Xenopus tropicalis: one gene and its partners. The protein of the gene in region 2 interacts with the protein of the main gene of each other region in a pairwise test. Links are inferred from orthologs where the notes say so. Each region holds a gene or a part of one and is shown on either strand. Other genes may lie near its edges. The genes, in order: tor1aip1, lmna, fam161a and tmpo.

Evidence for each region.
Region 1: the proteins of lmna (region 2) and tor1aip1 interact in a two-hybrid assay, tested with the Homo sapiens proteins (2 studies listed by BioGRID). The link is inferred for Xenopus tropicalis from reciprocal best matches to the Homo sapiens genes LMNA and TOR1AIP1.
Region 3: the proteins of lmna (region 2) and fam161a interact in binary tests that used the Homo sapiens proteins (3 or more experiments, as listed by UniProt). The link is inferred for Xenopus tropicalis from reciprocal best matches to the Homo sapiens genes LMNA and FAM161A.
Region 4: the proteins of lmna (region 2) and tmpo interact in a two-hybrid assay, tested with the Homo sapiens proteins (2 studies listed by BioGRID, with this or other methods). The link is inferred for Xenopus tropicalis from reciprocal best matches to the Homo sapiens genes LMNA and TMPO.

Annotation. Positions count from the first base shown.
Region 1 is NC_030680.2:101,249,731-101,253,815, reverse strand, and holds the start of tor1aip1 (torsin-1A-interacting protein 1), read left to right. Parts: upstream 1-1,265; 5' UTR 1,266-1,530; coding exon 1,531-1,564; exon of another isoform or gene 1,565-1,568; intron 1,569-1,615; exon of another isoform or gene 1,616-1,725; intron 1,726-2,539; coding exon 2,540-2,584; intron 2,585-3,209; coding exon of another isoform or gene 3,210-3,212; coding exon 3,213-3,254; intron 3,255-4,085. UniProt on the Homo sapiens protein: Required for nuclear membrane integrity. Induces TOR1A and TOR1B ATPase activity and is required for their location on the nuclear membrane. Binds to A- and B-type lamins. Possible role in membrane attachment and assembly of the nuclear lamina.
Region 2 is NC_030684.2:142,967,495-142,971,522, forward strand, and holds the start of lmna (lamin), read right to left. Parts: upstream 2,841-4,028; 5' UTR 2,794-2,840; coding exon 2,450-2,793; intron 1-2,449.
Region 3 is NC_030681.2:33,455,220-33,459,513, reverse strand, and holds the start of fam161a (protein FAM161A), read right to left. Parts: upstream 2,860-4,294; 5' UTR 2,829-2,859; coding exon 2,664-2,828; intron 1-2,663. UniProt on the Homo sapiens protein: Involved in ciliogenesis.
Region 4 is NC_030679.2:51,516,405-51,519,967, reverse strand, and holds part of tmpo (thymopoietin), read right to left. Parts: intron 3,000-3,563; coding exon of another isoform or gene 2,892-2,999; intron 2,607-2,891; coding exon 2,487-2,606; intron 2,390-2,486; coding exon 2,294-2,389; intron 2,117-2,293; coding exon 1,970-2,116; intron 1,757-1,969; coding exon of another isoform or gene 1,637-1,756; intron 1,547-1,636; coding exon of another isoform or gene 1,454-1,546; intron 1,302-1,453; coding exon 1,210-1,301; intron 452-1,209; coding exon 142-451; 3' UTR 1-141. UniProt on the Homo sapiens protein: May help direct the assembly of the nuclear lamina and thereby help maintain the structural organization of the nuclear envelope. Possible receptor for attachment of lamin filaments to the inner nuclear membrane.

The DNA of each region.
Region 1 (4,085 bases), on a different chromosome or scaffold from region 2:
CAGCTTTCTCCAGCCCCCCCCAGCGACTTGCTCTGGCTCCCCTGTAGCTTCCTTCAGCCCCCCCCCCCCAGCGAATTCCTCTGGCTCCCCTGTGGCTTCCTCCAGCCCCCCAGCAACTTCCTCCAGCCCCCCCCCCCCAGAGACTTCCTCTGGCTCCACTGCGGCTTCCTCCAACACCCCACCCCCAGTGACTTCCTCTGGTTCCCTGGGGCTTCCTCCAGCCCCACCCCCAGCGACTTCCTCTAGCTCCCCTGTGGCTTCCTCCAACACCCCAGCCCCCCCAGAGACTTCCTCTGGCTCCCCTGCGGCTTCCTCCAACACCCCAGCCCCCCCAGAGACTTCCTCTGGCTCCCCTGTGGCTTCCTCCAACACCCCAGCCCCCCCAGCGACTTCCTCTGGCTCCACTGCGGCTTCCTCCAACACCCCACCCCCAGTGACTTCCTCTGGTTCCCTGGGGCTTCCTCCAGCCCCACCCCCAGCGACTTCCTCTAGCTCCCCTGCGCTTTCCTCCAGCCCCTCCCCCAGCGACTTCCTCTGGCTCCCCTGTGGCTTCCTCCAGCCCCCCCAGCGACTTCCTCTGGCTCCCCTGCGGCTGCCTCCAACACCCCAGCGACTTCCTTTGGCTCCCCTTCAGCTTTCTCCAGCCCCCCCCCAGCAACTTGCTCTGGCTCCCCTGTAGCTTCCTTCAGCCCCCCCCCCCAGCGAATTCCTCTGGCTCCCCTGTGGCTTCCTCCAGCCCCCCCAGCAACTTCCTCCAGCCCCCCCCCCCAGAGACTTCCTCTGGCTCCACTGCGGCTTCCTCCAACACCCCACCCCCAGTGACTTCCTCTGGTTCCCTGGGGCTTCCTCCAGCCCCACCCCCAGCGACTTCCTCTAGCTCCCCTGTGGCTTCCTCCAACACCCCAGCCCCCCCAGAGACTTCCTCTGGCTCCCCTGCGGCTTCCTCCAACACCCCAGCCCCCCCAGAGACTTCCTCTGGCTCCCCTGCGGCTTCCTCCAACACCCCAGCCCCCCCAGCGACTTCCTCTGGCTCCACTTCGGCTTCCTCCAACACCCCACCCCCAGTGACTTCCTCTGGTTCCCTGGGGCTTCCTCCAGCCCCACCCCCAGCGACTTCCTCTAGCTCCCCTGTGGCTTCCTCCAACACCCCAGCCCCCCCAGAGACTTCCTCTGGCTCCCCTGCGGCTTCCTCCAACACCCCAGCCCCCCCAGAGACTTCCTCTGGCTCCCCTGCGGCTTCCTCCAACACCCCAGCCCCCTCAGAAACTTCCTCTGACTCCCCTGCGGCTTCCTCCAGCTACACCCACGTAACGGAGACATCATTACGTCTTCACGTTTTATGACGTCACTTGCGGCCGTTCGCAACTAGGAACTAGCAGCTACCCTCTTCCTGCATCGGCTTCGCTAAACGTTGTGGTGCGTCAGTCATAGTTTACCGTCGGAAACGTGGGTTAAGTTGGAGTGGTTCCGCATCAAGTAAAGTGATTTTATCGTGGTCAACGGTGTCATAGCTAAGGACAGTCGTCAACAATGAGCGTTCACGGAGGTAAAACAACCAACACCGGTAGGTAAGCCAAGCCCCAGACAGGAGAAGATACACTCCCTAAACGCGTTCATAAATTGTATTAGTTGGGTCACGGCAGAGGCCCAGAAGGAGTTCGCTTTATAGAATCGAAAGCGAAAGAAGTTGTCAGCCCGCGCTTTCAATCCATTTTAAATGCTTTTGTATGAAGCGATTATGAATGTATTATATCTGCTTTTTACGATCTGATCTTTCTAAGACTGTGTATATGAGAATTAGTAGATACCGAGGATCATATACACAGTCTTAATAATTTATTAATTCGCTATTTGTCCTATTTATCACTGTAGGGGGGGGGGGGCAGGTTCAGCTGTAAACGTTATAGTCTTTGCTGGGGCCCTGTCAAATCAATATTTATTTCTATATAGTTTGCTTTTATCTGGGGGTATGTCAGAGGTGGCTCCTGTTACACCTGCAAGTAGCCCCAGAAGCAAAAGTGAAATTCTGATGTTAGCCCTGAATCCTAGCACTTTTTGAAGGATTTCTATTTGACAGTATTTAGGACAAACCAATGCGGTTTTTACATTTTACTTAAATTTGTTTAAGCAAATTAGGGGTTGCATTCTCTTCTGCATACAGATTATTCTTTTGTGGAGGATTCAGTATTTAACCAACCCAAAAAATTGTGGATTTGGGGCAACAAGACGCACCAGCCTTTTTTAATGAATTCGTTTCATCACCAGAGTTGTGGGCTAATAAAAACAGAACCTATAGAGGAAGCAGGGGGCGCAGACTGCAGTGTCTGTTTCATCTATAGTTGTCAGAAATCCCCCAATCCCCAGCTGCTATCTTATCTACCCTGGGGAGCAAGGGTAGTGTGCTGAGCCCTTCCGAAGATTCTTTGCTGGGGGCCAAGCACAAATTTGTTACGCCACTGTCTCTTAATTTTAGATAAGATACAGAAATATATAAAACAGAAATGTTATTCTTCTATTACTGTTTATGTCTTTTCTCTAGATGCTTATGTCTCAAGAAATGATGAGGAAGAAGCACCTTTTTTAGGTAATGCAGATTTCAGGATCTAAATATGTCTGCCTCATCGCGGTGACGTGACACGAGAACGCAGCAAGGAGCGGGAGGACACAGTGGGGAGATGGGAGAGGGAGTGGGGGAGCCGGGAGAGGGAGAATGTTAGAGCAGGCCATAGTTTTAGGACGCAGATGGGAGCAGGCAGTGAGAGTGGGCCATAGTTTGAGGACTCAGCAGGGAGCTGGAGCAGGCTGTAGTTTGTGGGGTGGGTTATAGACTAGAGACTATATTCCAGCCCCCCAAAAGTCTGAGGGACCATGAACTGGCCCCTGTTTAAAAGTTTGAGGACCCCTGTTTTATAGCATTGAGAGTGCCATGTGTGTCTATTCCTGCCCTATGGTTAGATATCTTTAGGGATGTGTCATGCAGCATGACACCAGGTTCTTTTTGACTTAAAAGTGCATCACACTTCATCCCTACAATGATCACCACATTCTAAGTCCCTATATTGGGAACTGCCCCATATATTTTATTTTTTAGAATTCATGAATTCTGAGAAATGTTTTAGGAGAGTATTAGATAATTTTGGGTTAGATAAATCTCCCTGTAAGTGAAATGTTATAATTATGCTGGTTCTCCCTTTCTCTCCTATTTGCAGCAGACATGAAGTTGACAAGAAATTCAATCAGGTCTTCCAATCGAGGTAAAATATTTGGTCACAAAATTTTTTTTATTGCTTCTGGCTATACAAAATGAGGTAGAACTCTGCTTTTGATTTTATTTTTAAAGCTTATAGTAAGGTTCCTATCAATCCTTATATGAATCCCTAATGAACTGACTTTCAGAATGCTGGTCCCTGGTAAACTATGATATGGTAAACATTCCCCACCTGATGGCCTTAACCTTTAACATTCCCTGTTGGATTGGGTTTTCACTTGTCGACTTTGAGCAGCACAAATCTGATCTGCCTGCACTTAGCCACAGAATAATAGAAACTTTTTTGTAGCAGCTACTTTGGGCTGTGTTCTTTTTTACCTGCAGCGCTGAGCAATCTAATCTTCCTGCACTACTAATTGCTGTAGGCAGAGAAGCACAGATTGGTAGCTGCTGTGTCAAGCTTTTTATTACTTGCTAGATCAGGACAGGTAAATTGGATCAATCATTATAGTGTATTGTTGCTTAGCAAGGGTAAATGAAATGCAAGATGCGGGATGTGCTGGAGGAAATAAATGAGTAGACAGAGAAGAGAAAAAAAAAGTAGACAAGCATAACCTTGGATAATGAGGGGAAAAGAATTAGAAGTTAATAATGAGTAACAAGCTAAGGAAATCAAAATGGAGAAGTAATGGAAAGGAGAAAAGATAAACAGGTAGGAGAAATAATAAAAATATAGGAAAGCACAGCAGGAAAGGGGGAGGAAAGAAGAGAACAGATGCAGAGATAAAATATATGTAGAAGTAAAAAGAGTACAAAGAAAGGTAAAAGAATGGAAAAGTGGTTGCAAGCAGGGCTGGACCAGACAGGAGCCTCTCCT
Region 2 (4,028 bases):
GTGTAACTGGGGGGGGGGGTGAAAGACAGACTAATGCCCCAGGGAGTGGGGGGGGGGTAACCCTGAATATAGTCTAGAATATTACTATTATCGTTTTAATGCATGCTAATTAACTACAACTCCCAGAATCCACTGGGACCCATTCCCCCCCAGTTGAGTCCAGCGAGGGCCCTGGGAGATACTGGGTGCAACAGTCTCTCCATTCATCCCCCGGGGGGCGCCGTGCTATTGTGGCCTATTGGGCAGGACTGCAAGTGAGCCAGCCCTGCGTCACATAATCACATAATCAGGCGCTTCCTTTCCCAGCATGCCCTGGGCCCCACGCAACTTGTCTGCTAATTGCTGGGGGGGGGGGTAATTAATTTAAGGCAGATCCTGGGAAGCGACTGTACAAGGAAATCCATGTTTCTGCTGGAAAATCAGCCGCTGCCGCCCGCAACGCTGGCAAAGCCTCCCGCCACTTGGCTCGGGGAGAGCAAAGTCTTGTTTTTCCAGGGATGTGAGTAAAACACAAGCCCATATAAGGGAATGCCAGTCTGTGACTGTGTGACTGCAACTCCCAGCATCCTCAGCAGCAAAGAGCTGGCAACTTGCGCCAACAAAAATAAAAAAAAATGGCTGCCAAATATTGTTTTGTGTGGCACTTAATGGGGCACAGGGGTTTCCCGTGGCATTGTGGGTATGCCCCTATGGGCAGGGTGGCATGGATAGGCATGGCAGGAAGGGATAAACAGGCTGGGCACAAAGTGGCACACCCTACTCTAGTGGCACCAATGCCCATATGGAATATACAGATACGGTGGCACCAATGCCCATATGGTATAGATACGGTGGCACCAATGCCCATATGGAATATATAGATACGGTGGCACCAATGCCCATATGGAATATATAGATACGGTGGCACCAATGCCCATATGGAATATATAGATACGGTGGCACCAATGCCCATATGGAATATATAGATACGGTGGCACCAATGCCCATATGGAATATATAGATAAGGTGGCACCAATGCCCATATGGAATATATAGATACGGTGGCACCAATGCCCATATGGAATATACAGATACGGTGGCACCAATGCCCATATGGAATATACAGATACGGTGGCACCAATGCCCATATGGAATATACAGATACGGTGGCACCAATGCCGGGGCACCACTTGGGGCAGAGTCAGGGTAAGGGGCATTTATAGAACCTGCAACTGCCCCGGGTACCAATGAACCAATCCAAAGAGAGCCCTAAACGCACAGCTGCCACCCTTACCCTCTGAGTTGTGGGGGCACAGGGTCTCCCAATGGTGGGTGGGCACCGCACAAATAACTTTGTTTCCTATTTTAGCCGGTGACTCCCCGGCACAGACTCCCAGCACAGTAGGGACAACACCACGCGGCACGGGGAGTATTTATATTGGAATGAGCTCACTGGTGTGAGATACTCGGCACGTGGCGCGCGCTGCTCATACATCAATGTAAAAACACCCACTGGGGTAGATACAGGGAACTGCCTCCCAGCAGGGCCGGTGGGACAGTAAAGGACTGGGGGGGAACATAAGGAAGTGCTACTTTACAGAAAGGGGAGTAGATACAGGGAACAGCCTCCCAGCAGTGGCGGTGGGACTAATACAGTAAGGGGCATAGATACAGGGAACTGCCTCCCAGCAGGGCCGGTGGGACTGATACAGTAAGGGGCATAGATACAGGAAACTGCCTCCCAGTAGGGCCGGTGGGACTGATACAGTAAGGGGCATAGATACAGGGAACAGCCTCCCAGCAGGGCCGGTGGGACTGATACAGTAAAGGAATAGGGGGGGAGGCTGAAAGGGAACATAGGGAAGTGCTACTTTACAGAAAGGGGCATAGATACAGGGAACTGCCTCCCAGCAGGGCCGGTGGGACTGATACAGTAAGGGGCATAGATACAGGGAACTGCCTCCCAGCAGGGCCGGTGGGACTAATACAGTAAGGGGGGTAGATACAGGGAACTGCCTCCCAGCAGGGGTGGTGGGACTAATACAGTAAGGGGGGTAGATACAGGGAACTGCCTCCCAGCAGGGGTGGTGGGACTAATACAGTAAGGGGCATAGATACAGGGAACTACCTCCCAGCAGGGGTGGTGGGACTAATAAAGTAAGGGGAGTAGATACAGGGAACTGCCTCCCTGCAGGGCCGGTGGGACTAATAAGGAATAGACACCCTGTGGGATGCAATGGAGTCGCTGCTGCTGAAGACAAGCGGCGCCCCCTACAGGCAGGTCTGATAACACCAATCCTCTCCCAGTAGCCCTGGCATGAGTCAGGTTTGCCCCAGGCGTGGGCATTCCTACACATCCTATGACTCCTATGGGCTGGGCTCACATTTCCATCCCGGTGCCAAGGAGCCCAGTGTAACCGACCCCCACCCCATCCCGCTGGCACACAGTCCTGGCACCCCCGGGTCCTACCTCGCTTTCAGCTCCTTGTGCTCCTCGCGGATCTTGCTGAGCTCCAGCTGCAGGCGAGCCCTCTCCTTGGCCACCGAGTCGAGAGTTTTGCGGGCGTCCGCCAGTTCCGCCTCGTAGGCCCCCTTGATGCCCGACACCTCGCGACTGACCACCTCTTCGGACTCAGTGATGCGCAGGCGCAGCCCGGCGTTCTCCGACTCCAAGGAGCGCACCTTGTCGATGTAGACGGCCAATCGGTCGTTGAGTTCCTGCAGGTCTTCCTTCTCCTGCAGGCGGGTGATGCGGGTGGGGGAGAGTGGGGTGTGGGTGCTGCGGGTCGCCCGCTTCTGCCCGGGGGTCTCCATGGCTCTTGGCGAATACACGGGGGGCTGTCAGTGCGCAGGGATCTGCTTTCCTTCTCCGCCTCTGACAGTCTGCTGTGCCCAGTGGCTCCCAGTTACATCCACTCGCAACTGCCAGCCCCTGGGCGGGGCCAGGGGAGGAGCCTAAAGGGAAAGGAAAACTCAAATCATGGCCCTGTCCCCCCCCCCCCCCAACCGGCTGCTTGACGTGAGGCATCTGGGGACACAGCAGAGCTGTCAGTCAATATAACTCCCTGCAACCCTCCGGCTCTGACCCAAGCCATTACAGAACTACACATCCCATCAGCCCCAGCGGGTTCGCTTACCCCTGAACACAGCACATTGGAGCGACTAAAAGCCTTGAACTGCAACTCCCAGAACCCTCAGCTGGTTCGCCAATATCAGTCACCAATATAACTCCCTGCAACCCTCCAGCACTGACCCAAGCCACTTCCAGCCATTACAGAACTACACATCCCATCAGCCTCAGCGGGTTCGCTTACCCCTAAACACAGCAGATTGGAACAATTGAAAGCCTTGAACCGCAACTCCCAGAACCCTCAGCGGGTTCGCTTACCCCAGAACCCAGCACATTGGAGCGATTGAAAGCCTTGAACTGCAACTCCCAGAACCCTCAGCGGGTTTGCTTACCCCAGAACACAGCAGATTGGAGCAATGGAAAGCCTTAAACTGCAACTCCCAGAACCCTCAGCGGGTTCGCCAATATCAGTCACCAATATAACTCCCTGCAACCCTCCAGCACTGACCCAAGCCACTTCCAGCCATTACAGAACTACACATCCCATCAGCCTCAGCGGGTTCGCTTACCCCTAAACACAGCAGATTGGAACAATTAAAAGCCTTGAACCGCAACTCCCAGAACCCTCAGCGGGTTCGCTTACCCCAGAACACAGCACATTGGAGCGATTGAAAGCCTTGAACTGCAACTCCCAGAACCCTCAGCGGGTTCGCTTACCCCTGAACACAGCACATTGGAGCGATTGAAAGCCTTGAACTGCAACTCCCAGGAACCCTCAGCGGGTTCGCTTACCCCTGAACACAGCACATTGGAGCGATTGAAAGCCTTGAACTGCAACTCCCAGAACCCTCAGCGGGTTCGCTTACCCCTGAACACAGCACATTGGAGCGATTGAAAGCCTTGAACTGCAACTCCCAGAACCCTCAGCGGGTTCGCTTACCCCAGAACACAGCACATTGGAGCGATTGAAAGCCTTGAA
Region 3 (4,294 bases), on a different chromosome or scaffold from region 2:
CAAGAGATTTTAAGTATTTCTATATACAAAAAGAAGTATAGCAAACACCATCTGGCTAACACAGCATACACCATAATAAGCTTACACTGCTAACAGATATAGCCTGTAATCTCTTGTGGGCAGGGCCTGTTGCATCTCTTGTTTCAGTCTCCCATTATCTCTGTTTATTAGTCATTTCCTTGCACATCACTGGTTAATTTGAGATATATATTTATATATATATATAAACTGTATAAAGAAAAAAAATTTATAATATAGGAAAATTTAACAGAGCATCATAAGCTTATATCTACATATAACAGAAATATAATAAATGAATGGGCAGGGATTAAAGGACAACACAGACAAATTCACCGTGGAGATGCCAATTTGTTACCAGCCTCACGGACTCCTGTGGGTGCTACTCATCTTTGAAAAATGTTTTTATTAAAGCACAGAGCTGCCATCTTTTGCTTCTATTTTCCCATTTATTGCATTCACGTGCATTGATTTAGATGCAAGTAAGTGTGTTCTTGTAAGTTCAACAGTCATTTCTTCATTCTATTACATTCTGAACGTGCGTCAAATGCACAAATATAGTAAGTAATTTTAAAACCACTGAAAACCTTTCATTAACATATTTGCTTAAAATTACATTTTCTTTTATTGTACAAAAATACTAGTTGCAGGGATCCACTATTTTCGGATTCATCCAAACCCCGAACCCTTCGTAAAAGATTTGTCCAAATACCGAACCAAATCCAAATTTGCATATGTAAATTAGGACACGGAAGGGTTAACGAGTGCAGCAAAAAATGTTCAACTTCCGTATTTATGTGACAAAAAGTGTTTTTAAGGATTCAGATTTGGTTTGGCCAGGAGCGTGGATTCAGCTGAATATGAATCCTGCTGAAAAAGGCTGAATCTTGGCCAAATCCTAAACCGAATCCTGGATTTGGTGCATCCGTAACTAGTTGTCAATGTTTTACTTGTGTTAAGTGTGACATGAATGTAAGTTTTGGGACAGGTCCATACTCTCCCCCACTCCCTGTACGCTTTCCTTCTCCAGATATAATGACTATGAGATCTCTTTTCAGCCCTGCAGATTTTATAGACATTGAGACAACACCATCACGGGTTTGCCAGTGCTCTGCTTAATTCAGTAAATTGCTTCCCAGCTAATGCTCTATAGTCACTAAAAATAACTACCAATCTAATCCTCTTTTAAACGGGATCCCCTACATTGTAGCTTATACTGTTCAGCTTTTCACCATTATTAGCATGTAAATGTAACTGATGTGCCAAATAGCACTCTGTATAATTAGCACTGGCATCACATGATCCCATCTGTTAATTAACCGGTGCCGAATAGGCTTATAAAATAAACACCAGATGACAGGCTAGAGATAATTCCCAGAGCATGCTGCCCTTCCATGCCCAGGCTAACTAAGTAATACAGCGATGTCAAACCTGCGGCCCTCCAGCGATTGTTTAACTACATCTCCCATCAGCAGGGTCAGCAGCCTCTGTTACTTTTTTGTAAACATTATCCCAATGAGTAGCACCCCCCAAGTGGAGTCGGAGTCAGAAGCAACTACTGAGTAGCTGAAGGATTTATGTAAAGACTCCATAGACTGGCCAGGGCTGTGGAGTCAGATTTGTAGAGTCAGAAGCAAATTTGGGTACCTGGAGTCTGAAGTACCATAAACTGAGGAGTCACTGGATATATGTACCAACTCCAAAGCCCTGCCCTATAATTGCACCTTAGGCACATGCCCCTTCTGCCTACCCCTAGTTCTGGGCTTACCTACCATTCTTCAACATATAACAAAGGAGTTGTGGGGCCAGCAACACTTGGGAACCCAAAGGTTCTGTTCCAAACAGAGTTCTAATGTTTGCCGCCTGTGCCCAACTCATATGCCTACTGTCTATAAGTTACAGCAGAACAAACCAGGCTGTAAACCCCAAAATACCATGTTTGCCTAATAAAAAACGTAAATCTACGAAACTTTCCAACAGAAATTCATAAACATTTTTCAATGGTCTTAAAGAGATACTGACACCAGAAAGTAAATCTTTTTTTTTACATCTATAATAACATTGTCTTTGCAAGAACTTTAGAATTTTGCCATAAAAATATTTGCCTGATGCGTTTACATTACCTGTCTGATCCTCGGTTCCTCTAAGTGGGGGCAGCCATATTTGTCTGTTAGCATTAGAAGCTGTAACTGACAGGCTGGGAAGGGACAGTCAGGTTGGCAAAACAGTCAGGTGTAGGAACTTCAAGTAACAATTACTTACAAAAGCAAACCTGTCAGCGAGACACCATCAACATGACCTATAGGTAACTTTTTATGTATATTCATATTTTAAAGTGAACTGTAAATGTAATTGCCATTTAGATCTGTCTAATGAAGCACTGTAGCAGCAGCCACTTGCCTGTTCCTAGCCCTGTCTGTGAATCAGCTGCCCTCTGCTACATTGTTTCACTAGTTACAACCAGCAGTTTGACAGATGAAGCTATCAAAAGAAGTTCTACTTACAAATAACTTTAACACAATGGGACATTTGTAATAAATATATTTGTATATATAAGTTTAGCTCAGAGATAAATTGTTAAGAAGTTTGCTATCTTTAGGTTTCTATGAGCTTTAATATTCCAGCTGTAAGAATAGTATCCATACCATTGATGTTCTTGGAAGTCTCTGGGGTGAGACAGAGGCAGTTCGTTGTTGTTGCCTTTCCCCCAACTCCCGTTCGTACAGGGCAAGCGGTGCTTTGGTGTAGGGGTTCACAGGGGTCCTCACACAGGCGGCAGCGAGCACTGATTCCTTGTGAGCCTGCGCCATATTGGCACGGAACCTTCAGCTTTGGCCGCTGCCTGGCAACCGCCGACGCTACGGAGTCTGCGAGAGACCAACCTCTAAAGCGATCACAAACTGAAGCCACGCCACATGGCATGAGAGAAAGGAGACAATAACCTAGAGCGCGCTGTTTTCAGAGCAGCAACTGGCGCAGGCTTCCAGAGTTTTGCATCCAGCTTTAGTTTATCTGCCGCAGAATGAGACTAATGATGGTGGAAATGCGAGTGCTTAGGGTACTCCCAAAGGCAGAGCATAACCAGCTCCAAACTTCAGCCCACACATATACATTTGGCGACATCTAAAGCGCCGGCTGCCAACACAATACTCTAGCTCCGCTTTCCTATAGGGCGCTCTAGCGATAGTGCCCACCCTGCGCTCTGATTGGCTGAGGCGAGAGCACTACAGCCCCCTCCGCACGGATTTGGAAGAGAGCGGATAATAATCCCGGTAGGGGCGGAATAATGCACAAAGTGCAGTTATTAGTTTATTTGCCTTCAGATAGCTTTTCATATGCCCGTGGTTTTTAATTTGTGTGCCCAAGAGCCAGAGAAGGGGTGGGTAAGGCTCATAAGGGTGACCATAGGAGGTGCCTACTTACTTACAAAGGCTCATTGTTGAATTTAGGGTGATCTCTTCTTTTTTTACGCTAGACCTTCCTGGCATTAAGGTTAAACTATTAAAGTTGTAATACATTTCAAAGCATTGTGGGAACTGTAATCTTACTGAATAGCATCCTTTATTTTCTGTAAATTACTTTTTGGGTGCTTGATCATAATTTAGGAGCATTATAAATAGCACTTGACTATACTCCTATGGCATGTGTGTACCTTTCATGTATATTTATGTTATTTTACACAAACAAATTAAGGTTACACATACCTTAAAGGAGACATATCTTATAAAAATAATGAATGTACCAGTGAATTATACTCCTCTAGACATAGAAGGAATGTGCTTTAAAAAGTTGTATTTCAGACTGATTTATTGAGAAATTCCCCCAAACCCCACTAGCCCCGCCCATCTGTTCCACTTCCTGCTGGCTGAATTCTTTGGATGTGCAGGGGGTGCCAGCGGCCCTCCATAAACTGCACTGTAGGATAGGAACCAATCAGCAGCTAGGCTGACCTGATAGGGAACTGAAGCCTGTCTGTGCTTGTGTGAGTGCAGGGCTGTGATTGGCTCTCCTCCTCCTACTGTGCTTCTGGCAGGGACTGTTGGGACACGCCCACTCTTCATTTCTATAGGGAGCTCCAATAAAGAGGCCATTGTTACAGAGAGGATTAATTTTTAGCACAAAGTGAAATCAGCACCATATATTATTCATAATTGCCTACAAAATTAGCGTTTTTCCCCTTTATCCAATATGTCTCCTTTAATGTAAAATCATTCAGAATATCCTTCCGAGCACTTTTGCAATTTACATTCTTTTTTTCTGCTTAGTTCTATTGTTA
Region 4 (3,563 bases), on a different chromosome or scaffold from region 2:
AAATGTACCATCTTTATTAATGTACAAAAGTTTGAAGTGCGGTGATATTTTCAGACAGTATGGGACAAATGGCAGGTTTTCTTATTCCTTGAGTTGTTAAAAATATAAACTGTAATTCAATCCCCCCCCTCAAAAATAAACTTAAAAATCAGTTTCAGTCTTGTTTGATTCTGTGATGCCAAGAAGGAATTTAGAAAATGCTATTCCTTCATTTGTTTCCATAGCTTGATAGACTAAAAAGCAAAACACAGCCAAGAGGACAAACATCAAAATCTTTATCCATACAGGTATTGACCGTCCAGGTTTCACTTTTTCTGCCTTCACCTCCACTGCTGGTGTGTACTTTGAAACATTTGAAACATATTTTGATGTATAGGTTTCATCTATTTTGTATTCTGTGGAATTTAATGGTCGCCCTGCGGCTCCTTTAATTGGCCTGCGACAGCTGGCACTAAACAAGAAAAATGGGAGAAAAAAAACGTCAGTGAGAAAAATAGTGTGAAACAGTTGACAGTCAAGATAAAGGACAGTATACAAAAACTATGTGTAATAATTTAAAGGACTAGAACAACTTTTATTAAAACAAAATCTCGAAAACATACGAAAACTTCATCCTACTTGGCTAAATTGTTGTTTGCCAGCTAGGAGTCACCAAATTTGACAGTTTGTCAGGAAAAGGCCTCCAGCGCAAGTTATTGATATGCAAATGCATTTTGAGTTATGGCTCACCTATAACAAAGGATGCAAATGCTCATGTGGTACAACAAACTTGCTCTGAAGTCTTGATATAAGCTCAAACAGAGCAACTAGGAGTTGTGGCAAGCTGCTCATCATGACACTAAGTAATGTTGCCAGTGACAAGTGCCAGCAAAAAGGTCCAACAACAACCGTTTACAACAGCTTGTCAGCTTGTTATGGAAATGTCATAGGTCTAATAAATGTTGATTACATTTTGTGATTTGCAGCAAGTTTGTATATGAGGGTATTTGTTGGTGCCATCTGGCACTGAATTAAGAAGGGTACAGGATGTATAGAGACTCAGGAAAGCCAGTTAAGATCCATTTAAAGACCGGCTTCACTGCACAGTTTCTGAATTGGTATGTTCTAGAATCCTAGTATACTTTTTTTTAGAAAAGCAATTTGCATTGTCAAATAACCATGAAAAATGAATTTTAGCATTAGTGTATTAGTAAACATTATTATAACAACCTGATTCCAGTTGGAGTGTGAATTTCATTTGGAAACATTTCCTTAAGAATATCTCTTTCAGTTCTTCTCTCCTCAAAAGTCTTTTCTACAAGCTAAAAAGAGAATAAAAGAAAAATCTAGTTAAAATGCAAATGGCACAAAATTTATGAAGAAAAACCACAGATCACCATATAAGAAAGTGGCTAAATAAAAAGTTTCACCACGTGCACAAAAAAAAACCCCAAAAAACCAAAAACCCTCTTTCCTGTTTTTTTACAGGTGTTACAAACTTCGTTATTTTCAACTGCTTTGTCTTTTTTGGAGTTTCCAAAGAGTCATCATCGATGTTTTTCGTTTCCTTCAATATGAAGAAAATCCTTAGGGTCACTTATCTATACATTGCCAGACCAAAGGAAAACTATAAGGGGGGGCATATTTAAGCCATCACCTCTATTAAAGCTGTGTTAAGAAGATCATTGGGGTTTGCATAACCAATACTATCAACATCAATCAACCTGATTTGAGAAGAAGCGGATTCAGTTTCACGTGTTACGTTCAAATGCTGCAACTGTATAAACACATGTTAAAAGAAAACAGCATGCTTTAAAATGAATGACATGAGATTTTGCAAAATTAAGTCCCCTGATAAATTGAACCACAATATAAAGAGGAATCCGAAAAAAGGCGCCTTTTTTATAGCACAGTTTCATAAATATAAGCGACCTTATGCTATATTGCTATATGGAACAAGAAAAGCTAATCTAAACTTATAAGTATTTACTTTTTCACTGATCAGCTGTTTCTTAGGGGTTCTTCTGCTCAGTTCTGAGAATTCGCTCACTGACAGCAATGTCTCTGCATGCTTCAAACTTTCAGGCACGTGATCAACAACCTTACGAGATTCAAAGTGCTTATTTTCAGCATAAGTCTACATAAAAAGAAGAAAAAAAATGTTAAGAGCTTTAGATGGAAGTGTATGTTTCCTCCAGCTCATCAGAAAATTCTACGTTTTCAAAATTATTAAATTACACAGCATTAGCAGAACGCCTGTTAATCGCTAAAAACAATGCTCACAGTTAGCTACAAAAGTAAAATATATATTTACTAATATTTGGTTGCTTGCAGGTACTACTGTTTCAGATATAGAAGGGACCTCTGCAAGATCTGCATCATCAAAAGGGACTGGATCAGGAGCTACCACCTATTAATTGGGAAAAAAAAAAAACTGGAATTAGTATAAACTAGTGCCAGGTCACTATCTCCAAGGCTAGAGACTTCAATATAATAACGGTCATCACCCTTTTTCTTGGGGTTCGCCGGGATAATTTTGTTGACTCCTTATAAACAGTCTGCACAGGTCCACTTTTTGAAGGTCCAGATGTCCATGCTGCCTCGGTAACTATATCTTCAGACACGATCTAATTAAATATTAAATGTGAATTAAATAAACCCTGTACTCAAAACTTCAGTGGCCACAACTGTCTGGCACATGCAGAGGTGAAAAAAAGACCAAAAAACAAACATAAAAACCCCTAAACCCACAGAAGTGCTTAATGACCTCTATTATGAAATAGCGAATCAGTGAAAGTGCTTTAGAACCAATAGAAAGGTCCATAAAAGTACAAGAAACTGTGCAATAAATATTTAGAGATTAAATATGGCTATCCAGTGACTCAAGCTGTTTAGAAAATCATATTTTTTACAGGGAGATAAGTAGATAGTTCTTCAGCATCAGGGGTAAACTCCTTAGGAGGAGATCTGTTACTTCGTTTGACATTTAATTCTGGTATGAGATCAGTGTCTTCCTCCACCTAAATATAAGAAAGTCAATTCTGCACATGATAAAGAAAACCTGCATCAATAATATTTTCATATTCTATTCGAACATTCAAAAGTAATATGATACTAAAAATATTCAGAGAATGTTTAATATGGCAGACATAACAGATAAAATCAAAAACTGTATAGTTAGAATGGTTCAATGTGTTCAACTCTAAACTGTCTTGTCTGGGTGCGCAAAAAGACATGCCCCTCGATAAATCTTTTGCTTATAACAGTAATTGAATGAATGAGGACCAATTATCTTACCTAATGTACAATTTCTTAGGGTAATTCACTTTAATTATAGATAAGCTTAGGGTGTACTGGAACACACCATCCTAAGCATCAGGACATGAGGCAACATCTGGGCAAATAAATTTAATTAAATCCAAAGATGTGAAAGGACCGCTGCTAATGAATTTTACTAATCTTAAATGTATTTTGAATTACACAGCATAAACCTTTCTAAAAATAAAAAAAAATGTTTTTAAACTTTTTATGGTAGGGCCACACGGGATTGAATCAGCCAATTCACTGGCCTTTGCTTGTTTGGG